Linked DNA regions of Struthio camelus. The protein of the gene in region 2 interacts with the protein of the main gene of each other region in a biochemical or structural test. Links are inferred from orthologs where the notes say so. Each region holds a gene or a part of one and is shown on either strand. Other genes may lie near its edges.

Region 1 (7,407 bases), on a different chromosome or scaffold from region 2:
GAAATTAAGAGCTCTTTAGGAAAAATCTTATTGGCCAAAATGACTTGATGTTGCAGTGAAAGATGGAGAGGACTTTGGCCTAAAACCCATATTGATTCAGAAGTGATGATGGTAAGGATGGGGTTCAGTTGCCTAAACGTAGATATCTATTGCCATTTAAAAGGCACTTGAGACATTGGCATGGGACTGGCAGATACAGCACAGAAGCTATGGAAGACCTGAAGCCTTCTGAAGTGGTGGCTAGCAGCCAAGTGGAATATCCTACCATATCTACAGCGGCAGTAGGCACCTACGTTTAGTGTAAACTAGAAACTATGGCATGTAGAAAACTGATACAGGTAGTTAAAAGATACGGGGAGAATAGAGATGGCTAGCAGAGCAACAAGAAGAGAAAGTATCTGAGAAAAAATGCTGCTATTATATACTAATAGCTAGATGGAAACAGCAAACTACTTACAGCTTGATTCTGCACCACTGACATTTCTGTTCTGCAGCTGAACAAGAACAGGCCTATCTATCCGTATTGCAGGAGCATGAGAAACTATTCTTCACTGAGTACGTCAGCGAGACGATGAGTCAGGCCACAGACTGGATAGTGACTAGCTGGGCTCCCAGCCAGCGGACAGCCTGCTTTCTTGCCCATGGCATGGCAGGAAACGGAGCTGTCTAGTTGGTTTGTCACGCAGCATATGGATTGTCTTTCTGCCTGGCTTCGATCAAAAGTTAAACAATGCACTGTGGTAAAGCTTTCACAGTCTGCTACGACAGCTTGTCTTCAGAAAACTACTGCCTCTGAAGTCTTTCAAACAGCTTTGAATCTGATTCTGCCCTTAGTACTGCCTCAGAGATATCATGTAGTGTGCTCATTAAATCGTTTATCCAAACTTTTAAGACACACTCAGGCACGTGTCCTTGTTTTCCAGGTACCTGACTTGAGATGCTGGGGTGTGACTTGCAGAAATTGTTCGCCTCTCAGCCGAAATCAATGGGCGCTTGCCTGATTGTGAAAGGTTACAGTGCTACATTCTCAGAAGTATTAAGCCTTTGGTTCTGATTGCATATTCAGAATCAGTGGCTATATTTTGCCTTAAGATCCACACGCTTCTCTTTACCACTTGAAAGGCAGATAAGCTGCCCAATTATCTCTTAAGGGTTTTGTGAAAAGCAGATGTGTGTGAACGCCTCATACTAGAGTGGTAAGTGCCACAGAAAAGGAATATGAAGAAACTGGTGATTCTGACTGTGTTCAGAACGAGGAGAGAGTACAGCGAAGAGGATTTAAAACCATGCTTTGCACAGAGGCTTGTTTAATGAATATGTCCTTTTTGAATACTGAATAAATACAGAAACTTGTGTTTGTATGTTTATGGAATCCCTTGTGATCGTCCAATTACCATAGCATAATGTATACGCATAAATGGCTTAATTCAAATGACACTCGCTTAATCTGGCCATTGACTAATCTGAGTACTTGGCTTTGCTAGACTGATATCTTTATTACGGATTTATGTAATATTAACTTTCGATTAGGTTGTTTGCATATTTAGTCTTCCATGCCGTGAATATATTGTTACCACAGGAAAATATTCAACGGATAACTAAAAAATCAGCAGTTGCTTTTCGTTTCCCCTAAAATAAAGATGATTAATTTCCTTACTCTGTGCTATCTATTTTCCCTCCTCTCTCCTCTCCATGTGCAGTCTCAGCTTTTCCAGAGCATCTCTGTTACTGTTTCTAACTGGTTCACAATTCTCTATTGCTGCATCAGTTTCCATTGGTTACTTGTACACTTGACAGAGTTACTGATTAATTTGGCTTTCAGGCTTTTCTTTTCCTCTTGAACTTTATTATAATTCTTTGGGCATTGCTAAATCTTTAGTTTTCCCTTCTCCAAACCTTCCTATAGAGTTTTGTTTCAGACATGGGAATCTGACAGCAGTATTTATTATAAAATTATATTTTGTCAATAATTGTCACCGATAATGCTGGGAAAGACGAAATTTACTTCTTGAGGTTTGTTCTTTGCCATTTTCCTACCGTTACAATAATCTTGGAAAAAGTTACTTTCTGATCTTGTGTTCTTAAAAAAAAATTACTTGTTCATGACTAATATTCTGCTTTCTTGTCCAAACAAAGAAATGTTTTGATAATCTTTCCTTGCAAGAATCTGGCTTGATTTTGTTTCAGATTCATGAATAGATGCCAGTTTAAAGATTTACATCTTCCTTTCCTCCACTATTTGACCCAAACTTTATTGAAGTTTTAGGACTTGCATTGGGCTGTCATGCCTTTTATTCTCTTATTCATATCTGTTTAGACAAATTTGCTTCTCAGAAATCTAAACCCAGGTTGCCAGAATTTGTTGACGGACAGACCTTGTCTTCAGATGTTTTGGGAGGTGACTTAAGTTAATTCTTCTGGAATACACAAAGCACTTTTTTGTTAAAGCCTGCCCTTGCAAATCACTGCACCAGTTCCCTAAGTGTATTTCTTTGTTTTAATCCAGACAGATCTATAGGCAGGTGCTGAGAAGTGTACTACCTATCGCTTGCAAAATCCTGTAGTATGCTCAGCCAACGCTTTTTGTTGCCAACTCTCTCACCTCTCTCCCTCGCTATCAACTGATAGCAAACTTACGCTTGATTTACTTGTGTTATGGTTATTATGACATCCTTGCAAGCGTGAAGTGAATCTGTTTCTTGGATGGCACAGTGTAGCCCAGACCTTACCACCCTCTTTTTTCTTCACCGTGTGCCAACTCTATGTACCTATAGTGATAATCAGATACTGGAACTATTTCACCGATAAGCCATTTTAGCAGGAAGAGATAGGGTTGGTTGCTCCTAGGGCGAAAGATGAATAAACAGGAGACTTGCCTTGCAGCTGGCTCAGCTGGAGGGAAAAGGGGTCTGGGAGGCCGCAGAGAAATTAGGGCATGGCAGACACCTACTCTGCCTGGTATTTTTTCACTGAGCTGAATAGTTTTTTGGTTATCCTCAGACACGTGCCTCACCTTTGTATTATCTTAGATTTCTTGCAGTCCCCTCCACTGCTTGCAGGCCCATCCCTTGCGGCAAGCCCCAGTGACAACAGCGGAGAGGAGTACGGCCATCGTCCGCCCTGACAACGATCGCACCCAACTTCTGAGAAGGGCTTCAAGGATTTCTGTGATGCACCTTCTCTTGGAATTAAATAACTACTTTTTTTGTGTGTGTGTCTGTGTGTGTGTGTGTGTGTATGTATTCTGGTTTATTTCTGGGGGTACTTTTTGTACCACCAAACTTTCCTCAACATCATTACACTGGAGCTGCAGATAGCACCGGTTTGCAGACTCAGACCAGCATCCGGCTGCTCTCATGCTGCCCCAGTGCCCTTGTTCTTGTAATTCGGAATATGGACATCCCCCGTGTGTGTGTGTGTGTGTGTGTTTTAATACAAGTCGCTGCAATGTTTAGGAAGGAGAGGTGGAAACGAGTGTTTCTGGCAGGTCAGTCCCACGAGGCTGCAATTGCTCCTCACTAGCGGCTTGTTTCTCCACCTAGTCAGGCCTGCGGGTGCCTTGCTTGGTGCGGTCCGCGCCGAGAGGACAATAACGTTTTCAACCCGCAACAACGTGGCACGGCGGCAGCATTTCACAGACAGCACCGCCGAAGAGATCTTGGAGACGGTACTATCACTCGGCGGCAGCCTGCGACAGCGTGACAAACAGGGCGATGTCCTTAGCTCAGTACAACAAAACAAAACAAACTCTCGCGGCCTTTACAGCCTTTTATTCGAGGGCCACGAGGGCAAAAAAAGTGAACTCGCTTCAGGCACGCACAGGCGACCAACCGCTGAGGGGACAGCGGAGCACCCCCCCTCCCCCCCAAACCCGCCCGGGGCGGCCGCTTCCCCTCAGGCGCGAGGGCTCGGCCCGCGCCCAGGCACCTAACGGCCGCCCAACGGCCGCTCAACGGCGGGAGGGGCAGCGGCTCCTTCAAGGGGCGACAGCGCCTCGCGGGAGGGAGAGGGGAGGCTCCGCTTCCCCCGCGGAGGGACCTCGGCAGCGCCGCGGGGAGGCTCCCCGGCCGTCTCGGAGGGCGGCAGTCGCCTCAGCGCGGCCCTGCGGAACTACCCGTCACGCCGCCGTCTCCGTCTCCGCACAGGGGCGGGCGTCGCGGGGGAGCCGGGCCGGCAGGAGGCGTCCTGCGGCGGGAGAGCGGGAGGGAGGGACGAGGTGGGGGGGTGTCGGCTCTCCCGGAAACAGCGCCGGCCGGCGGCAAAGCGGCGGTGGCTGCCGCGGTGGGAAGTCGGCCGTGGTGCTGCGCCGCCGCTGCCGCCGGGCGGGTTGGCGGGCGGCATGGAAGCGGTGCCCCGTGAAGAGAAGCCCAACCCGCTGCGGGATGCCAACCTCTGCTCCCGGCTCTTCTTCTGGTGAGCGCCCGGCCGAGGGCGAGAGCGGAGGCGGGGGGGGGGGGGGCGGCGGCAGCGCCGCGAGGTGCGGCCTCGGGGCTGCCCGCCGGCGGGGAAGGCGCCGCGCCGGGACTTTGGCGCTGCCGCCTCGCCGCCCCTTGGCTTCCCGCCGGGCTCTGGGGCCGGCGGGGGGATGCTGAGTGCCGGCGCGGGGGGCCCGCCGCCTCCTTTCTCCTTCCCCCCCCCCCCAACTCCGCTTCGGGCTTCCCGCGAGGGTCCGGGCGCCCCGGGGGGGGAAGCGCCGGCGCCTCCCGGCAGTGACTCTGCAAAGGCGGCTCGGCGAAGGCCTGGCGGGTTAACACGTGTCAGCGCCGCCGGCTCGGAGCGCCCCTCGCCCGCAGGTGGCTCCCGGCGACGGAGGCGGGAGCGGCGCCGCCGAGGCGAGGTCTCCTGAGGTCAAAGCTTGCTAACCCGCCGCTTGCGGGGAGCCGCGTCTCCGGCGCGCCGGTACCACCCCGGGAAGCCCCGCTGGGAGCAGGCGGGGGCTGCCAGCGCGGTCCCACGTCTCCTCCCCGCCGCCGCTCTCCCGGGTCTGATACCGCTTCCCCGGGCCGAGGGTGCCCCTGCAGCTCGGCTCGAGCACGTGTTGCATCCCCTCGGCGGGCAGGGAGCCTGCTCCGCGCCGGGGTGCCCGGTGCTGGCAGCGGCTCCGGCACGGCTGCCGCCGGCGGCTCCGCGCCGCTGCTCGCATAACGGGTCGGCGGCAGGTACCGCTCATCTCGAGAGCGCTTGCTGATCTCCCTGTCGGAGTCTTTTTTTTTTTTTTTTTCTTCTCCTCTCTTCTCTCTGAACTGCGTAGTCTGCTTAGGGATTTCCCAGTGTAAGGGCAGTCTTCTGCTTTGACTCTCTGGGGGCCTGAGGTGTCGCAGAGCAAAGGCGGGGAACGGGGCGCTTACGCAAGCATACTCGGAAACCAGTAACTTCTATGCTGGACCAGATGACTACTGTGGCAGCGCAGTTAATGCTTGTTCTGTTACTGTCATTGGCTTTGGCGCAGATGCGCATAATTACTCAAAGCAGGGAGGAATCATGGTCTGGTAGTTTCACTGCATTGAAATACGGTAAGGAAAGAAGACATGCAAGGTGCAAAGGGGGAGTATCAAGCTTGTCCATCTTAGCAGGACCCCTTTGGAAGAGAACAGGTGCAGAGGTACAGGTACCTACACGTACTTACCCTGCTTCACCTTCGCCTGAACTCCGGGTGCATGTGCCGGAGTACTTGGTGGAGAAGGAAGAGAAGGCATGGTGCGTGAGGCCCCTGTGTTTGGAAGCCTCTTAAACACAACACCAAAGTCTCCGATCCTAAAAGCAGCTGTGAGCAGTTGCAGGGATCCTTTCTAGAAGGCGGAGGGATTTTAAAGGCCCTGACCGATTTTAGCTAAACGCATTTTCGGTCAAGGAAATGTCCTCGGAGGTACTGTGTGCAAAAAACAGGTTGCATGCTTTTGTTGAGCTGCCTGTGTTCAGCAGTTTGACTTGTAATTTCTTTTTTTAGCGCTGGGGTGCCCATGTTAGGAACAACTTTGCTAGGAAATCCAGGCAGAATGGGATAAACTACGGGTTGGCCATTTAGCAGTGCAGCACTGCTTTTGCTCTGTTCACCTTTTCTTGCAGGGGTCTTGTGCTGCCACGAGTAGTTATGCCAAAAGCAGTTCTGCTAGAGGTGAAAAAGGAAGTGTGCAGTGTTCGTGACTTTTTTTTTTTTTTTTGACTGTTCACATCATCCATCTTATTGCTCTCTGGGTGTTGCAGTGGATTGTTCAGCAGCACCCACAAAAGCCATTTAAAATTTCTCAAGTTTTAGGAAAGCACTTAAAAGGTTCCTTTTACCCCATACACATTTGTAGGTTCTTATTCTACAAGGGGGCAAGAGGAAGAGGAGCCCTGTGTTTGTGAGATGATAGGCCTCCTGAAATTTCAGAGATTGACTGGAGCATTTTACTTTACAGTTTCTTACATTTCTTAGTCTTCAGATAGTAGGGCTCCACTGTAGGGCTTGTGCTCTGAAGTAAGTTTTTAATAGCATGTGAAAAGTTTTACTGAATTTAAAAAAAAAAAAAGTTCTGTATGCTATCTGCCAGGCTTTCACGGGCTTCAGCAACATTATGCCACCCTTCTACCTATGCTGCATGTGATCATCAAATACCAGTATATTCTAGCTATTTGCTAGTCAAAAAGCTTTAGTATTTTTTCAGTGAAAAATTCAGCTGAAGCGATGTCTGCAGTGGCTTAAATTGAGGATCTAGGAGATGTCATCTTTCTGCAAGTTAATAATTTTTTACATAAAACTGAGAAAGGATTAAAATGAACCTCACTAGCTATAAATCTACCCTTAAAGTTAGCTTTAGGAATCGTTCACTGCTTCTGCGAAGCACACAGCTTTTGACAACTGTGTAAGCATTTCTTGGCACTGCTTCATTGGAAGTGCTGTTTCACACAGGATGTTTAGAGATGTTTTCAGTTGGAGAACTGGAAAAACAGTGTTTGAGGAGGGCTGTCCGGGGAGTAGCGGCAACCACTGACATGTGGTTGCTCCAGCAGGCCTGCTGTGCTGCCCAAACCCTAGCTGCTGGCTGTTAGCCCTACTTTCTGTCCTTATTAGCAGCATTGCAGGCAGCTGGGCAGGTGTCCCCCCTCCCCTCCCTTTTTTTTCCCCTTCTATTTATTTTTTTTCCAAAAATCCAATCTTGCTGTTGTAAGGAGGCTCCCCCCCCCCCCCCCCTTTGTTGCCAGTGGTGTAGAAGTAGAGCTGAAATTACTATGTGTTGCAGAAATGGGATCAAACTCACAGGGGAAAAGTAGTCGTGTTTTCATTGAATTATAAAACTGAGGTAATGAGTGTGTAGACTGAAGACACATTCTTCTCCCATTGTTCAAAGCTTGTCTTCTTGCTCTTGGGGTTGTGATTTTGACAAGTATGAGCTTGATGAATATTAAACGCTCTAGTACATTCAT
Region 2 (7,277 bases):
CGGAGAGTCGGTTCAGAAATGCTGGAAACCAGTGTGCTATACAGGCACGCAGTCACGAGTGCTGGCTGAAAGGTGAAACACACATGCAGCCGTGCCAGCAGAGCAGCATCTTTGCATCCAGCCTGCAGCCGATGCTGACCTGCCTGGAAGCATGCGACTCACTCCTGTGTGCCAGGCAGCCCAGATTTGGCCCCCCCGGCCCCTGGCCCAGAGCCAAGGCATTAGTCAATCAAACTCGTGGCCGTTGGTCCTTCTTGCAGCAGGACATTGCGGCTAATTCTCTCAATGCCTCACAGTATATCAAAAAAAAGGTGCAGCCTGGGACCCTTCAGGGCACTGGGTGCATCTCCCATAGCTCACCACAGGCCTGGGACACAAAGGGGGTCCCTAAAAATGTGGGAGTCTCCTGCGTGAGAAAGGATGGGCTTCAGAGCATGCCTGGGGGAGCGGGCGTGCAGGAAGGTAGTCCCAAAAGTGTGAACACCCCGCAGAGCATCCCGGCATGTCCGTCTTCCCTGTACTGCAGCACCACTCACCTGACCCCAGCCACGCTGAGGAGACACCAAACGATTTGAGTCTTCGGAGATCAAAGCCTAGACCCCGAACGCTGTGTCCATCTACCTGCTGATCCCTCTTGATAGCCTGCTGACCTACCCAATGCCCAAGCTGGGCCTCCAGAGTTAGGACCCCCATGATGGGTCCTCCCATATCATTTCCTCAGGCCCCTTGAAGAACAGGGGGCCCCTGGTCGGGGAGACACAGTGTAAAAACGTTGAATCCTTGCAGAAAGCCCGGCCACGCAGCAATAGCTGGGCAGAAGGGAAGGGAGGACCCTCCTCCTCGCGCTCACCAATCTGTCACGTTTTCCTCCTGCGGCACCGTGTCTGCACATCTGCCCACTTCTAGGGCAGGTGAACCCAGGCTATATATAGTACTGACTGCTTGTGGTCATATGAAAAAATCCCAAGTCCTTTTTTGCAAAAAGCAAAAGCAAAGGGAGCTCCGGATCCAAGCTTCTGCCACAAATCGTGTAGGATCTACAAACAGCTTTAGGAGTGGCAGTTTTTATCTCCTTTGGGTCTCCAGTTCTGAGCTGCCCCTCAGGACATGCATTTAGGGCCCTTTTTGGTCCTGATTTGCATTAGAAGAAACCAGCATCTGAAATACTTAGATCACTGTCCCATCAATAAGTACCTGATATAATTGCCAAAGGAATACTAAATCGCTGAAAAAAGAGAGAGGGAGTCCTCTGATCATGTGTAGCAGAAGGTGTCCGTATGATCATCTTTCTACCATAATAGCAACGGCTTTAGGAGTCTCCTGAAGGAAAGATCCAGCCCTGAGTGCAGCTGGGCCAGCAGGTCCCCTGTCTGCAGCCACCGTGACGCTCGGTGGGCGATTTGTGGGTGTCATGAGTCCTTCTCCTCTGGCGATTTGTGGGTGTCATGAGTCCTTCTCCTCTGGCGCTGACGTCTGCACGTGCTCAGTGCTGACAAAGCTGTTCTGCATTCAGGCTGGAGAAAGATTTCCTGATAGGGGAGGGTATGGCACACGTTTCTGCAAACTCAAGGCTCCTGCAGCTGAGGGCAGGGCAGGAACCTGTGTAACTGAGAGGACTTTATTAAAATGTCATTACTGAAGGGGAAGTAAATGATCCTTTTATTCAGGCAAAACTGCTGCTGGGAGAGGAGTGGCACGGGGCTGGGGCTGCCTAAGTGCCTGCATGTTAGTCTGGCTGTGTCTGTTGGGGGGCAGTTGCTGTGTGGTAGGTGAAGTCCCACCTGGCCACAGACTTCATCCGTCCTAGCAGCAGGGATGGAGAAGGACAGTGATTTTCCCTCCATGTGGCACTGACAGGATCCAGATTGTCTCCTTGCATGGAGGACATGCTCAAGCGTCGCATCCGTGCTGCCAGGCAGACACAGAGCTGAGAAAGCAAAGAAAACGACCCCAATGTTGCAATTATGCAACACTAAGAGCAGTATTTACAGTTTCCTCCGTCGCTTCAAATGGGAACGATGGCCTTAAACAATCACCTATGCTGGAAATAACAAGAGCAGTGCTGGGAAGGAAAAAAAAAAAAATCAGACAAACTGCTGATTGCAGCTGACTGTCTGGCAAATAAAGTGAGTGCTTGGAGCACTGATGGCACAGGGAAAAAGAGCCTTGAGGACAAAAGGACAAAATTCCCCTCTGCTGTAAACAAATTGTGCTACATGGACAGCCAGAGCGGGGCTTGTGTGGCCGAACGGTACAACACAGAGGACGTGATCATAAGCAAATACCTTTGGGTGGGTGACACGGTCCCGTAAAAGCACCTCCTGACGCAAAGGGGAACCTTTACAGCTAGCAGAGCTGTTATGCAAAACGAAAAGTCACTTAAGCCAAACTCCGGACCTTTTATGAGAAAGAAAACTGGAATATTTGAAATGTTTGTTTTCTATGGAAATAACCTTCAGGGTTTCCTCTGCTGCAACCTCGAGAAATTCCACCACTTCTGCACAGGAGGGGAGCAGAGCGGAGGGAGCGGGTTTTCCCCGACGCTCGTGGCTGACCCACAGGATGGGCCGCAGCCCCAGCACCGAGAGGGCAAGGGCTGCGCTGAGCAACGCGCCCGCAGCCTCTCCCGCCTCACGCGCAGCTGGCGGCCAGGAGCAGCGCCCCTTAGTCCCCCACTACACCCACTTCCTCTGTACCCTCTCCAACCTCCTTAAAAGACCATTACATTATTTTAAGCCTCTGTATTTTGTAGCAAAGAGAGCTCAGGGAGCTAGGAAGCCCCAATGCTTGGAGACATCTGGAGCTGCACAAAGCATTAGGAGAAGGGAGTGCGGGGGGGGGGGGCGTGGACCAATAGGTGTTTTCTAATTGCTGCCACCAGGTTACAGAAAATGAAACAAAGTATCGTTCCTATTTTCAAGGACCAGGACAAGCAAGGAAAAAGGAACAGAGACTTCTTTGGATGTCCTAACACCTCTCGCCTCCACCTCTTGCCTGTTTGACACTGCGTAGGGGTTGTCAGAAGGTGCCAACCCCAGAGCACCTTGTTGCTCTTGTTACAGAAAGGAGATATGGGGCAACACGTCGCTCACAAGGGTGGATGCAGGCAGCTCCCCTGGCCCAGAGCAGCAATGCAGGGAAAGGCTTCAAGAGCAGGCCCCATTTTGGGGGATGTTGCTCCCCAGAATCACGCCCGGCTCTGATCTGCTGCCCGCCGCCTTCCCCTACCCGCCGCCCTGCGCAGCACTGTAATTTTGATGACACGAAGAAGAATCTGCCCATGCAAACTTTTCTGCCGGGCAAAACATAACTCAGGATAACAGAGTGTCACAAGCTTTTACTCAGAGACATCTCGGCAGTCGTGCTGTGCTCCGCCACCACACTGCTGAGGGATGCACAGACTTCAGGGCTGCAGAGCAGCGTTGTGATCATCTAGTCTGACACGCCACATTATCTAGGCCAAAAAGTGTCATCTAGTGCTTCCAGCATCAGTCCCAAATCTGCTGCTCAAGTTCAACAGAGCGAGAGAGCCAACGGGTGGTTCAGCAGCCCCCGAGAGCCCACCCCTGCTTGGGCCAGATTTTCAAGAGCGCTTTGCGCCTTGCATACAAACTTCCTTGAAAGTAGGTCTTTTGGTACCTGGGAACAAGCCAAAAGTGTTTTAGAAACCTTGCGCATGGTGTGCAAATTGCTGCACGAAGCAGGAGCCTCCAAGGCACCCTCGGCCTCGCCGGGTGGCCGGATCCTGCCACACGTGGGCACCCGTCACTGGGGGCTGCGATTCCCCGGGCGAGGAAGGGCTGAGCCAGCAGCTCCCTGAGCCTGGCTCCTGCCTTGTTTCCTGGGACGTAGAGCAGGATGGGGGCACGCAGCACATCCCGGGCCAGGCAAGGGCGGCGCGGGGGCCTGGCTCCCTCTGCGGCTCCTCGGGGCAGGGTGCAACAAGGGGGACGCCGGGCACGTCCGGGGCCAGGCAGGGAAGCACCCCAGGGGCGCACCGGGAGCGCGGGACTGACCCTCCGCGACGGGACGGGTCGGGGCGCCGCCGTGGCCCGAAGGAGGCGGATCCCGGTGCCGGGGAGGCGGCCGGGGGGCCGGGCTGCGCCGAGCCGAGCCGAGCCCGACGGGGCGGGCAGGGCGGGGCGGGCGGCCCAGGGGCAGGCCGGCGGGGCGGCGCTGTGCCCGGTGCCCCGAGCCGCGCCGAGCGGAGCCGTGCGGCCCGGCGGGGGCGGCGCAGCGGCGGCGGTCCGCGGCATGCGCGGAAGATGGCGGCGGGCAGGCGCGCCCCGCGCACCGGGCTGCTGGAGCTGCGCGGCCCCGGCGGGCAGTGGCTGCGCGTCCTGCTCACCCTGGCCGAGGACGTGCTGACCGTGAGCCCCGCCGCCGGCCCCGGCCCCGGCCCCGGCCCCGGCGAGGCGCCGCCGGCGCAGCTCAACGGCGGCGAGCCCAGCTCCGCCGTGCCCGAGGCGCTGGCCAACATCAGGCGCACGGTGCGCGTCGTCAAGCAGGACGTGGGGGGGCTCGGCATCAGCATCAAAGGTGAGGGCCGGGGGCCGGGGGCCGGGGCAGCGCCCGGCGCGGCGGGTCCTGGCTGCGGCCCCCGACGGCGGCGCGGGAGCCCGGGGCCGCGGCAGCGCCGCGGGGCTGCGCCGCCCTCCCGGGCTCTGCGGGGCGCCCGGCGCGGGGCCGCGGCAGCTGCGGGCGCGGGCGCGCGGCTTCCTGGCAGCCTGGGACGCCTGTGCTCCCCGGGCCGCGGCTGCTCCGCGGGTCTGACCTTCCAAGTCGGAAGCAGAGGTGATGCACCTCGTGGGGGAGCGGAGCGTTTTCAGCGAGGGCTGCGAGACGGGGATTTCGAGGGAAGCGACCTGTTGCCGTCCCCTTCTCAAGACTGGATTCTGCAGCTCGACTCCGCGTTTCCACTGAATGGAAACTATATCCAGGAGCCGAGCTCATCTCTCTGCACTGGGGAGGAACTGGGGTTCTCACGCCTCAGTCAGTCTCTTAACTTACCCCAAAAGGAGATGAGCAAGGGCAAGGTGGGAGGTGTGACAGCTGGAGTACGAAGGGCCTGAAGGATGTTTGCTGCATGCTCTAAGAGCTGGGTTTTAAAGGCAGACGGCTCCTGGAGAGCTCAGTGCACAGAGTGCCGGAGGGAGGCCGGGTGACAGACCAGCTTCTCAGGAGCCCCCAGCCAGGAGCAGGGCTCTGCTCTCCTGTGCTTGGGACACTGGAGGGTGGTGCTCACAGCCCTTTGTTGGTAAGCCAGGACTGGCAGAGCTTCTTCTCCCACTGCGACTTTGCACACGCTGGCACTTTCCTGGTAGGGAAGATGTCTGAAGAAGCAGATGGGACGCATAGGGTACCCATGTTACAGAAAAGCTGCCTCTTTGCATCAAACAGAGGTCTCTGCATGTTTGTCTTGGTTTCCTCAGTGACCCTATGTCTGTTGGGCTGACAAATGTCCCTTTTAAACTGTCGGCAGAATGAAGAAAATGATTGCAACCTTTGTAAGGTCCTTGGGGATCTGCAGACACAGAGTACTTCTTAAGAGCTGGGGCATTAAAACAACACTCTCAAGCTTGAAGATGTCCGGTCTCGGAGGGCTGAGCAGCAGGGAAGCCTTGTTGTTGTAATTCTTGTTTTCCTTTCTGGTGCTCCCCTCCCAAGTTTCTGTGCTCCTTGGTGATTTGCCTGAACTTTAGGCTGAAAACTTCATAGGGCAGGGATTGCATTTCTTTTTGTGTTTATTTTTCATGCAGCTCTGAGCTTGTTAGAAATTCAGTGAAAGAAGGATTAAATAGTCAACCACGGGCAAAGGTCCATCCCTGTGCATGGGTAAGAGTTTGTAATTTAATGTAACAGCAGGCCAGTTTGCATGCATGGTGGTCCATAGGCAGTGGTGGTATGAATCTTACCTTCTGACGTGGCTTCGCCTCTGGTGGCCAGAGAGAATTTAGCCTCAACCTCCTGCTTCCGCTTCAGCTGTACAAGTGCCCAATGTAGGGAGACTTTGCGATGTGGATGTCCGTCTGCTGGGATTGGATCGAAACACCAGCTTGCTTCTCTCATGCTGCTTGCTGTGCCTGCCACCATGGGATGCCTGAGATTGCCAGTGCTTCCTTTTGGGAAGTGTAAAATCCCCTTTGTGATAATCCTTTGGCTGCGAAGTTATCGCTACCTCTGTGACTCTCCTAGGAAAGGAGAAATGTTACTTGGTTCAGTTAAAACTTTATTTTTGCAGTGAAAAAATATGTGAAAAACAAGTGGCAGTAATCCAAAGTGGGAGCTATAAACCATTACAGCTGGTCACAGAGCTCTGAAGGTGACCACCGCTGTTGCAGAGGGAAGGCATTGGTCCTTCTTAACTGGGGTGGTGACACTTTCCCATTAAAAAGTAATAAATTTCTTGTAGTTTAACCTCAGAGTTTACCACAGAAGCGCGTACTGAGCAGAGTGTGAAAACAGCTTAGGTGTTACAGCTCTGCAGAGCAGGAGTGCTCAGATAGGCTGGCCCCAGGAGTCCTGGTCCCAGCCCTCAGGGCAGTTTGTGTTGTCTGAGGACTCTTTACTGCAAAATGCCTGAGTGCCCCAGGGCTGAGGCCACAGAATTGCCTCTTGCTTCTCTCCTTCCAGCCTCAACAGCCTTATATCGCTCTCGGTGGTGGCCCGAGGGTGGGATGGGGCCGGTGCTGTGCAGAGCGGCGTGCAGCCCTAGGGTTGGTGTTGGTGCTGACTCAGCCTGCTCTGGCTGACGCAGGCCTGGCTCCCGTTTCCCTCTTCCTGGGTGAGGGTGCGAGGCAGTAGGCTGTTATGCCAAAGAGACAACGTCTGCATAATACTGAAGAAATGCCTCCCCTTGGTTTCTGGTGCAAACAGCAGCTGTGCTTTGCGCTGTGAGTGGAGGCTTTTTGCAGTGGGCTGCTCTAGGGACGTGGCTGGAGCTCAGGGGCTGATACTGCACCTAGGAGGCCACAGGGACTGCGGTTAGGCCGAGGACGCCGGGGCGGCGGCAGGCTCCCTGGCCTGGCTGCACACATTGGTTGTGTCATGAGCTTGCTGAGACCTGGGCATGGCCCTGCTCCGTGTCCTGGCCCTGTGCAACCCAGGGAGCCTGCCTGGGGCAGCCCCATGCGAGCGGGCTGCCAGAGAGGGCAGGGTGCTCTGCTCTGCTCCTTGCCCTGGGCAGCATCCCCAGCCCTCAGCTATGCGCTGGCGCCAAGTGTGGGTCCCATTGATTTTTGCTGCCCCCCAGGTGAGGTAATGCTGAAGAGCAGGTC
Region 3 (7,188 bases), on a different chromosome or scaffold from region 2:
ACGAAGGCATCTAAGGTGATACCAGATGATAACCTGTCCCTTCAGAAAAGCATAACCAGGATTTCCAAACACTAGCCCAACATGCCTTATCATGCGACCTCACATGATCTTTCCTCACATACATGTGCAGAACATTCCTTCAAGATACTAGAGAGAAAATGCTCATGAAAAGGAAAAGAAAATAAGGTATCAATCCTCTTCTAATGTCATATACAGGATTTTTTTTTTAAATAGCTATGTTTCCTAAATCTCCTGTTTCATTCAGGACTCCATTCCCTAGCAATACATTTTTAGATATAATTTTGAGCATACAGTTGAAGCAAGAACATAGCAACTACTCCACAGTTTTTTGTGACCCAGCAACTACTCCACGGTTTTCTGCGGCCTGCAGAAGTCCTGGGAGGTGTTAGCTGGTCCTGCAGGTGTTTTTCTATCACAGCGAGCACAGGGACATCTCTGATGATACATGTCAGGAAAACAGCGCTTTCAACAGTGAAACACTTTTAAACACTGTACCCATAAGCTGTCATTCAGAGTGAGGAAGCCTCATGGTCTACATACACCCTTCATGGTCAAAGTATTTGGGTTACATACCCAATGATGTAACTGAATTCCTCTGCGATCTCTGACAAATGATTTAACCTCCTCTGAAATGAGGGTATGAAACAATATCAGTTCTCTATCATACTGTACAGAGTTTTGGCATGCTTTAAATCTGCAGCACTCCTTGCAGTGTAAACTACTTCTCCATGCGAACATGGGTATCAGAATTTGACCCTTTGTGGTTGCAGAGCCCCTTGAGAGTCTCAGACAGAAGTACAAACTGTATTATGGATAGCTTCAGATTAATATCAAGAACTGAGAAAAACCACATGTCACAACACCGATCTCCAATCATGTACAAGTTAAGTATCATATTCTTCTGTGATTATTTCTGGCAACACTGTGATCCGTTTCATACAAAGAATTACATACTACTCAGATATTTTGGCATAAATCTAAAAATATCACAACTTGCACCACGGGCTTCCATTTATATTGTTCACTTGTTCAGACACTTACCCCCCAAAATAGACTCTTTTCTTAAGTAGCCTCTGTTTCTAAAGGTCCCGTTCAACTTTGGTAACCATATGAAAAGGCTTACACCAGAAAAGAGTATTTCCAAAATCATCACTCCCATCCCATTTGTATCATTCTCATCCCATCCCGTCCCCGACATGGAGCTTCCCTCTGTTTTTTTGGAACCAGCTAATGTCTCACTGAAGGCAACATACTCAAACCAACAGCAGCAACATCCTCAAATGCACCACGTTTTTGGCCCATTAGCACAAAGGGAGATCCACTCCCCACTGCCCTGCAGCTCTGACCTTTTCAATTCTCTGCCACCAAAAGCTTATAGGATCTGCCGGATCCATCTGCGACTCCACCTGGCCTGCTTTCCCACGCCAAAAGGACGGATCAAATATACGTGTCTGAAAACACATCCCTGCTTCCTCTTGGCACCACCCAGGAGGTACCCTCCAACTCAAACTGCACCGCTTTAACACGAGAGGAAGCCTGCAGCAATCACCTGTGCAAAACCCTTAAATCCTCGGAAATGACAGCAAAATGCACTTCAGCACCTTGGACAGGACACAGGCACACACACACGCAAAATGGGGAAATCAGCAGAGCAGCCCTGAAAGTGTTGAAACCGCACATGACCCTACAGGACACATCTGCGGGCCTGTTTATTTTTAGTATTGACAAATCCTCTTTGAATCGCAGTGTTTATGACCGGTCTTTCAGGAAGAGTTGTTGGTCCCCCGGGAGGTGGGGGACATGGGGGCCACCAGGTTCGCTCCCGGCACCCGTCTCCGGGGTCAGCACCTGCCCCGGGCACAGCTGGAAAGGCTCAGCTGAAGCACCCGCTAACCTCAACTCCTCCTTTCCAGGCAAAATGAGACCTGTTGCTGTGCGTGTGTCGCCTGTGTGCACCTCTGCTTTTTAGAAGCTCATCTCCTCCTCCTCCTCCTCATCCCAATCTCCCAGGGGGAAAAAAAAAAATATTCCCATTGCAGTCACAGTCTGGTTGCGTAAGTTTTGTTTTAATTCAGATTTCGTTATCTCGTACGGTGCTCCGAGTATGTCCCTGTTCCCCTCTAGGCTGTCTTGATAAAATCATGATCACCTTGCCAGAGCGCAGCACAGCTCTCTGTGCTTTTCTTTTATTTGTACAAGTCAAGTAGAGTTTTTGATTTGGGCTGGTTAAAAAATCCATATATTTAAAGCAGGGCCTCCAAGGGGCAGCCCTTTGAAGTGAGCGACATATACACATAATATATTATGTCAGTTCTTACAACAAATAATATCAGTAATAGTCTTATAGAAGAATGATAAATTTTCCTTGCCACCATGGAAATACCCCCCCGAATTAATTTCTTCCCTTCCCAATGTGCTACTAAATTTCCGTTCAAACACATCTGCTACCACATTACATTCACCAAACTATTTGCTGAGTATCCTCCGTGTTGTTGCTATTGTTATTATTATTACTATCATTATTATTATTAATTATTATTATCAGCGGCAGTTTCAGATGCAGAAGCCCGAGGGAAACCAGCTCGACTCGCAGCAAGAGTTACCCCTCAGCAGCCAAACCTCAGCCTTAGCACCCCGGGGGGCGAGCCTGGCCGCTCCGCCGGCCGCTTCTCGCACCTGCCGCGCCAGCCTCCCCGCCACCCTCCCCACGCGGGACGGCCCGAAGCGGCACCCGGCGAGGGGCGCGGGGGAAGGGGAGCGGGACGCGGCGCTACCGGCTCTCCCGGCTAGCGGGGAAAGTTTGGGTCTCCAAGCAGGGCAAGGGGAAATTCCTCCTCCTCAGGCACGCTTCGAACCGGACTTCTTCGTGGCGTCCTTTTTATTAGCGAACAAGCAAAAAAGAGGAACTTACATTGGTTTATTTAATTTTCCCCGCTAAACCAAGAGTCCCAGATTCACTTCATTGTATCCACAGAGTTTTAGTCCCCGCGTGAGCACTCCCCGCGGCCAGGGCCATGGTGCTCGGTGCGCTCCGCGCCGCGGCGGCGCGCCGCTGCCCTCCCCGCCGGCCGCCGCCGCTCCCAGGCTGCCCGGCTCGGCGGTGCCGCCGCCGTGTGCTCGGTGCCGCCCCGCGCAGCCCCGCGCAGGCGGGGGGAGAGCGGGGCGGGGGGGGAGCGCGGGGCGGTGCCGCCGCCCGCCCCGCCCCGCCGCCGGCACCGCCCCGGCCCGGCCCGGCCCGCCCAGCCGCCGGCACCGGCACCGGCATCGGCACCGCGGCGCCCCCTGCCGGCCAGCGGCGGCGGAGCGGGGGGAGGAACCGGGGGAGGAGAGGGGGTGGGGAGCGGGGAGGAAGGAGGGAGGGGGAGGAAGGAGGGATGGGGGAAGGATGGGGAGGAAATTGGGATGGGGGAAGGATGGGGAGGAAGGAGGGATGGGAAGGAAGGAAAGGGAGAAGGATGGGGAGGAAGGAGGGATGGGGGAAGGATGGGGAGGAAGGAGGGATGGGAAGGAAGGAAAGGGAGAAGGATGGGAAGGAAGGAGGGATGGGGGAAGGATGGGGAGGAAGGAGGGATGGGAAGGAAGGAAAGGGAGAAGGATGGGGAGGAAGGAGGGATGGGGGAAGGATGGGGAGGAAGGAGGGATGGGAAGGAAGGAAAGGGAGAAGGATGGGGAGGAAGGAGGGATGGGGGAAGGATGGGGAGGAAGGAGGGATGGGAAGGAAGGAAAGGGAGAAGGATGGGAAGGAAGGAGGGATGGGGGAAGGATGGGGAGGAAGGAGGGATGGGAAGGAAGGAAAGGGAGAAGGATGGGGAGGAAGGAGGGATGGGGGAAGGATGGGGAGGAAGGAGGGATGGGAAGGAAGGAAAGGGAGAAGGATGGGGAGGAAGGAGGGATGGGGGAAGGATGGGGAGGAAGGAGGGATGGGAAGGAAGGAAAGGGAGAAGGATGGGGAGGAAGGAGGGATGGGGGAAGGATGGGGAGGAAGGAGGGATGGGAAGGAAGGAAAGGGAGAAGGATGGGGAGGAAGGAGGGATGGGGGAAGGATGGGAAGGAAGATGGGATGGGAAGGAAGGAAAGGGAGAAGGATGGGAAGGAAGGAGGGATGGGGGAAGGATGGGAAGGAAGGAGGGATGGGAAGGAAGGAAAGGGAGAAGGATGGGAAGGAAGGAGGGATGGGGGAAGGATGGGAAGGAAGGAGGGATGGGGGAAGGATGGGAAGGAAGATGGGATGGGAAGGAAGGAAAGGGAGAAGGATGGGGAGGAAGGAGGGATGGGGGAAGGATGGGGAGGAAGGAGGGATGGGAAGGAAGGAAAGGGAGAAGGATGGGGAGGAAGGAGGGATGGGGGAAGGATGGGGAGGAAGGAGGGATGGGAAGGAAGGAAAGGGAGAAGGATGGGAAGGAAGGAGGGATGGGGGAAGGATGGGAAGGAAGGAGGGATGGGGGAAGGATGGGGAGGAAGGAGGGATGGGAAGGAAGGAAAGGGAGAAGGATGGGGAGGAAGGAGGGATGGGGGAAGGATGGGAAGGAAGATGGGATGGGAAGGAAGGAAAGGGAGAAGGATGGGAAGGAAGGAGGGATGGGGGAAGGATGGGAAGGAAGGAGGGATGGGAAGGAAGGAAAGGGAGAAGGATGGGAAGGAAGGAGGGATGGGGGAAGGATGGGAAGGAAGGAGGGATGGGGGAAGGATGGGGAGGAAGGAGGGATGGGAAGGAAGGAAAGGGAGAAGGATGGGGAGGAAGGAGGGATGGGGGAAGGATGGGGAGGAAGGAGGGATGGGAAGGAAGGAAAGGGAGAAGGATGGGGAGGAAGGAGGGATGGGGGAAGGATGGGGAGGAAGGAGGGATGGGAAGGAAGGAAAGGGAGAAGGATGGGAAGGAAGGAGGGATGGGGGAAGGATGGGAAGGAAGATGGGATGGGAAGGAAGGAAAGGGAGAAGGATGGGGAGGAAGGAGGGATGGGGGAAGGATGGGGAGGAAGGAGGGATGGGGGAAGGATGGGAAGGAAGGTGGGATGGGAAGGAAGGAAAGGGAGAAGGATGGGGAGGAAGGAGGGATGGGGGAAGGATGGGAAGGAAGATGGGATGGGAAGGAAGGAAAGGGAGAAGGATAGGGAGGAAGGAGGAATGGGGGAAGGATGGGGAGGAAGGAGAGATGGGGGAAGGATGCGGAGGAAGGAGAGATGGGGGAAGGATGCAGAGGAAGGCAGGATGGGGAGGAATGATGGGGAGGAAGGAGGAATGGGGAGGAAGGATGGGGAAGGAAGGTGGGATGGGAAGGAAGGAAAGGGAGAAGGATGGGGAGAAAGGAAGGATGGGGAGGAAGGAGGGATAGAGAGGAAGGAAAGGGAGAAGGATGGGGAGGAAGGAGGGACAGGGAGGAAGGAAAGGGAGAAGGATGGGGAGGAAGGAAGGATGGGGAGGAAGGATGGGGAAGGAAGGTGAGATTGGGAGGAAGGAAAGGGAGAAGGATGGGGAGGAAGGATGGGGAAGGAAGGTGAGATTGGAGGAAGGAAAGAGAGAAGGATGGGGAGGAAGGAGGGATGGGGGAAGGATATGGAGGAAGGAGAGATGGGGAAGGATGGGGAGGAAGGAGGGATGGGGGAAGGTAGGATGGGGAAGGAAGGTGGGATGGGGAGGAAGGAAAGGGAGCAGGATGGGGAGGAAGGAGGAATGAGGAGGAAGGATGGGGAAGGAAAGCGAGATGGGGAGGAAGGAAAGGGAGAAGGATGGGGAGGAAGGAGGGATGGGGGAAGGATGCAGAGGAAGGAGAGATGGGGAAGGATGGGGAGGAAGGAGGGATGGGGAAGGAGGGATGGGGGAAGGATGAGGGGGAGGGTGGGATGGGGAAGAAGGAGAGATGAGGAAAGGATGGGGAGGAAGGAGGGATGGGGGAAGGATGGGGAAGAAGGATGGGGAAGAAGGAGAGATGAGGAAAGGATGGGGAGGAAGGATGGGGAAGAAGGATGGGGAGAAAGGAGGAATGGGGAAAAGGTGAGGAGGAAGGAAGGATAGGGGAAGGATGGGGAGGAAGAAAAGGCAGGAAGGATGGGGAGAAAGGAGCGATGGGGAAGGATAGGGAAGAAGGATGGGGAGGAAGGAGGGATGGGGAGGAAGGATGGGGAGGAAAGAGGGGTGGGAAAGGAGGAGGAAGGGAGGATGGGGAAGAATGGGGTGGAAGAGGCGTGGGAAGGAAAGAGGCATGGGGGAAGATGGGGAAGGACTGGGAAGAAGGAAGGAGGGATGTAGAGGACAGGGAAGGAGGAAGGATAGGAAGGAAAGAGGGACGGGTGGATGGAGGGATAGAGTCAGGGGAAGGATGGGGGAGGAAAGAGGGAGGGGAGGAAGGAGGGCTGGGGAAGAAGGAGGGCTGGAGCTGTGGGCAGCCTGCAGGGGCTGGACTAGGCAGCGAGGAGAACCACCCGGGTTTGGGGTCAGAGGGAGCGGACGGGGCCAGAGGGACAGAGCAGGGAGGAGAGGCACTAGGGGAGCCAGGGCAGGAAGGGAGCAGCCTCGCAGGGGAGAGGGGGACAGGGGTCAGGGGCAGGCACCATGCGGACCTGCTGCTCCCCGCCATGCCGCGGGAGCAGCCCGGCGACTCCAGCTCCTTGGCAGGGCGCCTCGGGACTCAAGGAGCAGATGCGAGGCTGGGTTTTGTTCGGCTGCATTTTTCTCAAGTTATTGAAATTGTAAAGTTTAGGCTTTGATTTAAAGTTCCCAATGAACAGAAGAAGTGGCTTTTACAGAAACTGAGCTGGCATGGGGAAATTGCTAAGGTTCTCCATGCGGGGAAAAACTACTGCTTACAAGACTGAGGGTAAAAGGCAGGAATTCAGTGTCGATGTTCACGGTGGGGGGAGGTCAGCAGCAGAGTCCCGGCAAAACCATGCCACACCTTGCCTTCTTCAGCGCTCATGACAGGAGGTGGAGAACGGGGTGACAGAGTTTGCTGTCACTGTTGAAGTATTCGGGGTGGTAAAATGAAAATAAACTCGTGAAGAACTGTAAAAAGACCTCACAATACTGACTGAGCAGGATAAAATAGTGTCTAAAAGGAAAAAATGGGCACAGCTTTACTTGCACAGTGAAGGGCTCTGAAGTAGCTATTACTACTTGGGAATGAGAGTCTGGAGTTATAATAAACACTCCCGTGACAGCCGCGCCATGCTT
Region 4 (7,416 bases), on a different chromosome or scaffold from region 2:
AGATAGAATTGGAAAAATAAAGCGTTGGAAACAGACCTGGTGAGGTAAAAATATGAGGGAACATGAGGAGCTTGAATTAGACAATGCTGGATTAGCCTTAGCTCTCAATTTATTCTGCTTTTCTCTGTGAGTAGATATAAACCATGCTGCCCTTTATTTCATTCTCTGAACAGCCCCAAGTATTTCCTACCTACTTAGTGCTTTCATTTTCAGATAAAAATCAATCAATAAAAGAGAAATCAATTTTATTTTGTTTCTCCATTGGCTTAGTTGCTATGTTACAAAATATTCACAAGGAATACTTTGGTAATCAAATGCAAATAACAACATTAACTTCTATATCAGATCAATAATTTTTGTACCCTGAGGCTCAGGCTCTGCTGGCATGTATTTTATCAGTGTCCTGAAGATAGGAGCTTCCACTGGGTGGCATGTACCTATTAATTGTTTTTTGAAAGCAGGGAATTAAAAATAGGTTCCTCTTTCTTACATTTCTCACGTATTACTAGATGAACAGAGTTGCTCCAAAACTTTGAAAACAAGGCATTGAATTCTTGTTTTGTAAAGTCCACCAAATGAAAGAAAATATCAAAAAGTGGAACAGTTAATGAGAATTTAGGGTGACATTCTAATCCTGCTAAAATCTATTCTGATGCTCTAAAAATACTTTGACTAAATTTTCTATTGTTGCTCAGCTTCAGAACTCAGACTAGACCTGATTTTCACTTAACTTCTAAAACTGAGTCAAAAGACAACGAAATAGACTTTTTTTTTTGAACAGCAGTGGGTCAAAGTATGGTGATTATTTACTTTAATATGAACATGTTAATCCAGGTGCGATGAGTTCAAAGAGCTGCTAAAGCTGGGATTTGTTTTAAATTGCTAGTCAAACAAAACCTTCTTAAGGAATTTGTAAGAAGCTATATCTTTCACTGTAGACCATTAACCATTTAGCAAAATTAAGAGCAGGCTATTACAATTACTTTTTAAGTTAAATAGTAACCAACAATCATCATAAACCATTCAATTTCTACCCCAGACAAACCAAGCACACCTTTGAGCAGTCCTCTTATAGTATCATGGAAGATTGACCCATTTTATCACAGCTGGTTGAGGTCTCATCTGCAGCCATCCCAATATTTTGGGTATGCAGCTGTGAGCTTCACAAGCTAATAACGAAAAAAGGTCTGCGAGGAGGGAAAGGGTTTTAACTGTTCTTTCATCAGCCCTCTTAAGAGTCTCACATGCTCTCTCACAGCTGGGAAAAGCAGAAGAGAAGTCTAGTTCTTTTAACAGTTCAATTATATGTCTTCATAGTGTTTGGAATCCACTTATAGCAATAGATTGACAATTAACAGTTTTTATTATTCATATTTCTTCCAAAAAGTTCTAAAGGAAGAAACTTTCACTGTTTCTGGATTTTTTTCTCATGCATAAAATACTGGTTGGATTAAATCTCACTGAAACTGTTGGAATAAGTATCAATCTTTCTGTAAGGCAGTTGAAAGAAATCCCTGAGATTCCTAATGGAAGAACATGGTTGACATAGAAATTCTCAGAGGCAGCACGCATCCCCCCACCACCTCCAAATGCAAATCAAGGGCTTCTCAGGAATAACGATTTAGCAAAAGTGTACGAGTTCTGCTGAATATTGCTTTGGCCAGCAGGCCACGTGGACCTGGGCAGCAGCCAGGACAAGACCTCAGGATGAGAAGCAAAGAGCCACACGTAGCCTGATGTGAGTGTGAATGAAGCGCAGATACCTAGGGCAGCATACTGCGGAAGACTGCATACCCTGGGGCCTCGCTACCTCCTTTGCCCTGGGAGCTGAGGCTAGTTGCTGCTGCAAGGGCAGAGCCAAGCTGTGTAAAGGGCAGGAGCTATTGCTGGGGAAAGTTGTCCTCGCTCCTGTGTCGGGAGGAAGAGTGATAAGTTTACCTCTCCAGGGCTCTCTGTTTGACTGTTTTGCAGCTCCACTCCCTCTACCTTTTTGCATTTAATGGCTAAAGCAGCCTAGCTCTCGCTTCTTATTCTTAAGGCAGCCAAATACCATTTCAGCTGCCTGGGATCACAACTTGGTATATGGATAAAAAGTGGTTTCAGCTGCTGCTTTGATAAACACAGTAGTGTTACTCTGAGAAATGTCCTTATAAGAAAGCTTTCGTAAATGCTAACTTAAAAGACACTTGGTGCTATTTTTTAGGAAACTATCCAGTGTTGTTGTATTACTCTGTTGTTCAAAGAAGCATGAAGTATTACAATCTTGTAAGCAAGCTGAATTGCAAGAAAGACCCTCATGCAATTTCTTCTCCGAACTAGATTAACCTGTAAGACCAATTTGTGTTTTATTGGCTTCTCATGTCAAAGAGATTAGAAATACAGTGAAAAATTGCAGCTTCTTAAAAAAAAAAAAAACTTATTAGCATCTTCTTGAACTATGAGACCTCTCACAGGAAATGAACAATCTTAGAGTGTGAGAGTCACTTTCACCTATCCATTTTATTCTGGATATTGTTTATGGCCTGACGGAACCACTAGTGAAGTCAAGGTAAGAGCTTTCAGCTGGCTTCAGTAAATCCACTTTTTTTTTTTTTTTAATTTACTTCACGTGAACCTAGAAGTATTCTCATTCAAAGATGGCACAACAAAGGTAGATGAGGTGCACTGAGCAGACTAAAATTACCTTTGTTCTGTGCTTTCCCACTGTGTCTTTGTCTCCTCCCTCCACTTATCTGGAAAGCTTAGAGGAAAGATTATCTCCTGCTATGTTTGTATAGTGTCAGCACAGTGGGATGGGCAAAGGTCTTTTATGATAAACTATGTAATAATAAACTTGGTAATCCAGCTTTGAAAATGGCAGTACCAGAGCCTTGGATGGCAATTTTGTTTACCACTTTTCTATCTGATGAAGCAAGGTGACTTTCAGTGGCAGGACATTCATAGTGTTACCCCTGATTCTGGCTTTCTCACATTAAGAAAAGGGTTTTACTATGTCCCATGAACTCTTATCCAAATATTCTCCCTAGAAATCATCTTAGTGCATGTTCATATATTACGTAAATAACACCTAATTATAAATAATGTATATATATAATATACATTAACTTAAGTTGTTGGAGCAATTCTCTGAGTTAACAAATTTCATTCTTCTCTCCCTTTCGTTTTCCCAGGGCTTCTTTCTCCTTTGCTATAGACCCTCTCCGCTGAATGAAACAGTTGGCTGCTTTCTTCTGGTAGCTGAAGTGCTTCAGCTGGCATCGATTTTTTGCTCCTGTATCCTACTAATGTACAGCATAGGAGCAGAGGACCTAGGAGACAATCTGTGGTAAGAGAGAGATTAAGTACTGAGTACAGCAGAATGGATAGATGGGGCAGGAACTACCATCTACCTGAAACACACCTTTAATATTATAGTATTTTAAGATTAGCTCTATTCTGAAATTGTCCAATAATGTTCCAGGCGCAGGGCAACACCTGCAGTTGCAAGCCTAACCAAAGGAACCCTGTAAATGAAGCTTCTGAAGCTGGTTACAGCCTTTGGTTTGGTTGTAAAGATCAGTCACTGGATATACTAACTACTGTGAGTCATCTTATCGGGTCTGTCATCACTTCCTGGAAAAAGCCAGAGGCGCTCAGAAAGCACCGCTGATGCTGTTTCTGTAGCTGTCAGTCTTCCTAAGAACTCTCTCTTGTGAGCCTGCAGCTCCTTATTTTGTAAATGAAACACACTTATTAAAAACATCTGTTACAGGCTTGTACCTTTGTAAGAAGTCCACGGCAAGCTACCTTGCTCTGGGAAAACACACACAATCCACATTTCTGTGTATTGTGCCATGTTATTAATGTGATAACGTTATCTTTCCTGAGAAGAAAACATGCAAAAGTTCTGCTTTCAAGGGTACTGATTTCCCTTTGGAAGTTGGTTAGTTATTGCTACTTTGGCAACGCGTAGAACTAGACAGAAATGTTTTGTTTCAGTAAAATCACGTGCTTTACAAACAATAAAATTCAAGTCTCGCTTTGTTCCATTTTTGGTGTTTCCTGATGACTTCCAAGCCTGTTTCACTTCCCACTAGGCCAGAAGACATCGGGGCTGCTGGGGGGGCAAAGGGGAAAAACAAACAGGAGAACCAACCAGCCACGGTAAGGGGGAGACCAAACACCCGCGGGGGCTGCGCCAGGGCTCCGCGCCTCTCAGGGCGGCCGGCCTCATCCCGCATGTGCGTCAGCAACAGGAAGCACCGAGTTTGCCCCCTGTCCCCTGCCTGCTGGCGCTATTTGTCTGTTTTGGCAGCAGGACGGGGGTCGCCCGGCCGCCGGGGCAGAGGCCTCGGCGGGGCGGCCGCGGCTGCCGCCACCGCCTCCCCTCAGCGGGCACCCGCCCGGCGGGAGGAGCCGGCCGGCGGCGGGAACCACTCCCCGCGGGGCAAGAAGCTTTGCGGGGGGGAAGGGAAGGGGTGGGGAAATGTTGACAGGTCCAGGAAGCCGCTGTCGGTGCCGAGAGACATCGAGCGGCTGCAGCCCGCTGCGCGGCAGCTGGCAGCCTCCTCAGCGCCGGCGCCGCGATGGGCTCCTCGCAGCACCCGCCGCTGGCCCACGTCTTCAGGGGCACCTTCGTGCACTCGCGCCGCGCCGCGCCCATGGAGATCCTCCACGGCCACCTGCTGGGGGTGGACGAGAGCGGGAAAGTGAGCGGGGGCCGGCGGCGGCGGGGCCGAAAAGGGAGGGCGGGGGGAGCGGGGGCAGCGCCGCCGGCACGGCGGGGCGCCAGCCCGGGGCGGCGGCGGCGGTTTGGGGGGCGGTTGGCCGGGGCTGAGGCGCCCGGGCGAGACCGAAACGTTGGTGCCCGGCGCTCTGCCCAAAAGCGGGCACCCCGGCCGGGAAGCCCCCTTTCAGCCCGCAGCCCGCGTCCTCCGGCGGGTGGGAGGAAGGGGCCGTCCGGTTGGCGTTTGCTGCAGCCCTTGAACCGGGGCACTTCCTGGCTTAAAACACGCGGCGGCTGTAAGGGGTCTCTCGACGGGGCTTGGCGCTTGGTGGGAGTTGAGGGGTGATTGGGGCAGGGAGCCGAGAAGCTGTTCCTGAGGTGCTCTACCTTACTGTCAAAACACATTCTTCGGGCCGTAAGCCTGTCTTTCAGTTTTGCAGATTTTTTTGTTTTTCGTTCTCTGTAATAAATACCAAAGCAGTACAAAAGATTGTAAATAATTGCAGTGTGCCTTCTGTACTCGTATGCTGCCTCCGAAAGCTTCTTCTCCCCCCCCCCCCGCCTTTTTTTTTTCTCTTTATCACAAGAAAAAAAAAAAGCCATGGAGTAAGTCTGTAAAGAATCGTGAAGACCAAGGGTAACAATTTGGCTTGTTAGTGAGTGGTGTGAGCTAAGTTTAAAATGAGCATTGCATTGGTTCTGGTGGGGAAGCTACATCACGCTGGTAACAGTATCACGGTTTCGCAGGGCTCATTGTATAAAGGCAGGTGGCAATTCCCTGGAGACTCAATTTTATATGTGTATATATATATATATATAGAGAGAGAGAGAGAGAGAGCGCAAGTGCAAGCTACCGTCTCTACCCTATACGTAATCAAAATTTCTTTTTTTTCTTTTTGGTGGCTAAACAGCTATGTCAGGCTTCAGTAGCACTTGGAAGATGCATAAAGCACACTTTGAATTTTGGACCCGTTACAGTGTTTGCTTTCACCATCCACACAGGTCAGTGAGGGCCTGTTTCCAAGTGGCTCTTGACTCCGGTGGCACTTGAGGAGTCTGGTACAAAGCATTGCTAAGTCTATGGAAAGCTGTATTTTGATTTATGGGAGGCGAGTGAAACCTTACAAAGCTATATATTGGCTGATTTTTAACTAAAAAACAATGGAGCTGAATGAACAAAGGGTTTGGTTTCTGTAATTCAAGAGCAGGAGGCAGAAACTCACCCGACCCAGCTCTCTCATGGAATTTTCTGGAAAAGAATCACTGCTCTCTGCCCTTGGGAAATTAAGACCTCTACAAGATTTTCTTGGAAAACAGACGCGGTAGTAGGCTGCAGTCAGATGACTGGTGCTCTCAGTCAGCCACTCTCTCCCTTTCTCCCAGTGAACGAGGATTCACTGGATATTCTTTTCTGCATAAACTGGCACGTTCCCACAGAGTAGTTCAGAAAGTTATTTTCCAGAAAAACGTTTGGCCAAAAATAAAATCTCTACCAGAAGGGAGTAACAGGAAGCTTCTTCTGTTTTAATACAAATTCTTGTCATTTTACTGTTCCACCGCAATGAATTGTGGTACCATGTGGTCTATTACTTGTAGCTTTACCTCGTGCAGTACTTCCATTAGCATTACTGAAGAGTTAATGGCACAGGGACTTGATGGGTAGAAAATTGCTTATCTTTATTGTCCAAATATACACCAAAACTATTACTCCCAAAGAACTAAATTTAACTAGACAGGCATCGTTCTGGTGCCTCCTGTTGCTGACTCCATCACGGGGAAATATTGCGTGATTTTTTACGGGGTGAGCAGAGAGCTTTTGTGAACAGGCAGATGCTGTTCCCTAGTTATATGTCCTGGTCTCTCGTCAAAACGGTAGGAGCGTGTAATTAGCGCATGGTAACACTGCACAGTCCAGCATGGGCGTATGTGGCTGATGCAGGCCCCTGACCAAAGTGTTGGTCCTTTGTGCTTTGCCAGTAAGATGAAAAGGCAATTTTAGGAAAGGAAACCTTGTTGTCGGGTATGAGACCAAAGGTATCGGAAGTTAACAAAACCTCGGTTTTATTGAACAGTTGCAATGTGGTACTGTTCTTGAGGAATTGCTTTTAGAAAGAATAGTGTTCTTCAGAGTAAAGAAAATAGAGCCAACTGCAGAGTATGAGTTACCGTTGAAGCACTGGAATAATTAATAGAGTAAAATGTTAAGTAAATGGAACAAAAGCTGCTGCTCTTGAAGGCTGGGGAGGAGCAAGAGTTATGGACGTTAATATTGTTAAGTATTACCAAGCATAGGTGTTTGGCGTAAGCCCGGTAGGATCAGCCTGGTAGGCCCAGTGACACGTGTTGCGCTCAGTTGCAGTTATGGCTGTGCAGATGGAGGTAGCAAGGTACCAGCATCCATGCGATGTTCATTGCTTGCTCCTTTACAGTAGGTTTTTGGGCTGTTCATTTGGCAGGCATGTCTAAATCTGGACTCGTGTTCCAGTTTGGGAAATCAGAGAAGTGATGGACATCATGTCTTTAATAGCAAAATTCCTGAACTTGGTAGCTTCATTAAACGGTGGCAGCAACCCAGTGAGGCCAAAAATAGGACATCCATCATAGTCAGGGACAGAGGAGAGCTACATATTTTTGCTGGCAGCCAATAATTATGAGGTTAGAGAGGGGTGAGTAGGATGAGGGAGCACAGAGAAGGTTGAAGCATTCACTCG

What was found.
Region 1: the proteins of alpha-1-syntrophin-like (region 2) and ABCC4 form a complex in vitro, tested with the Homo sapiens proteins (2 studies listed by BioGRID and IntAct, with this or other methods). The link is inferred for Struthio camelus from reciprocal best matches to the Homo sapiens genes SNTA1 and ABCC4.
Region 3: the proteins of alpha-1-syntrophin-like (region 2) and sodium channel protein type 5 subunit alpha interact in a test that uses a peptide from one of them, tested with the Homo sapiens proteins (2 studies listed by BioGRID and IntAct). The link is inferred for Struthio camelus from reciprocal best matches to the Homo sapiens genes SNTA1 and SCN5A.
Region 4: the proteins of alpha-1-syntrophin-like (region 2) and GDA interact in a test that uses a peptide from one of them, tested with the Homo sapiens proteins (2 studies listed by BioGRID and IntAct). The link is inferred for Struthio camelus from reciprocal best matches to the Homo sapiens genes SNTA1 and GDA.

Annotation. Positions count from the first base shown.
Region 1 is NC_090942.1:166,326,420-166,333,826, forward strand, and holds the start of ABCC4 (ATP-binding cassette sub-family C member 4), read left to right. Parts: upstream 1-4,232; 5' UTR 4,233-4,339; coding exon 4,340-4,413; intron 4,414-7,407. UniProt on the Homo sapiens protein: ATP-dependent transporter of the ATP-binding cassette (ABC) family that actively extrudes physiological compounds and xenobiotics from cells.
Region 2 is NC_090959.1:4,022,362-4,029,638, forward strand, and holds the start of alpha-1-syntrophin-like, read left to right. Parts: upstream 1-4,233; 5' UTR 4,234-4,265; coding exon 4,266-4,539; intron 4,540-7,277. UniProt on the Homo sapiens protein: Adapter protein that binds to and probably organizes the subcellular localization of a variety of membrane proteins. May link various receptors to the actin cytoskeleton and the extracellular matrix via the dystrophin glycoprotein complex.
Region 3 is NC_090943.1:7,057,519-7,064,706, reverse strand, and holds the start of sodium channel protein type 5 subunit alpha, read right to left. Parts: upstream 3,002-7,188; 5' UTR 2,933-3,001; intron 1-2,932. UniProt on the Homo sapiens protein: Pore-forming subunit of Nav1.5, a voltage-gated sodium (Nav) channel that directly mediates the depolarizing phase of action potentials in excitable membranes.
Region 4 is NC_090982.1:26,799,305-26,806,720, forward strand, and holds the start of GDA (guanine deaminase), read left to right. Parts: upstream 1-4,414; 5' UTR 4,415-4,565; coding exon 4,566-4,688; intron 4,689-7,416. UniProt on the Homo sapiens protein: Catalyzes the hydrolytic deamination of guanine, producing xanthine and ammonia.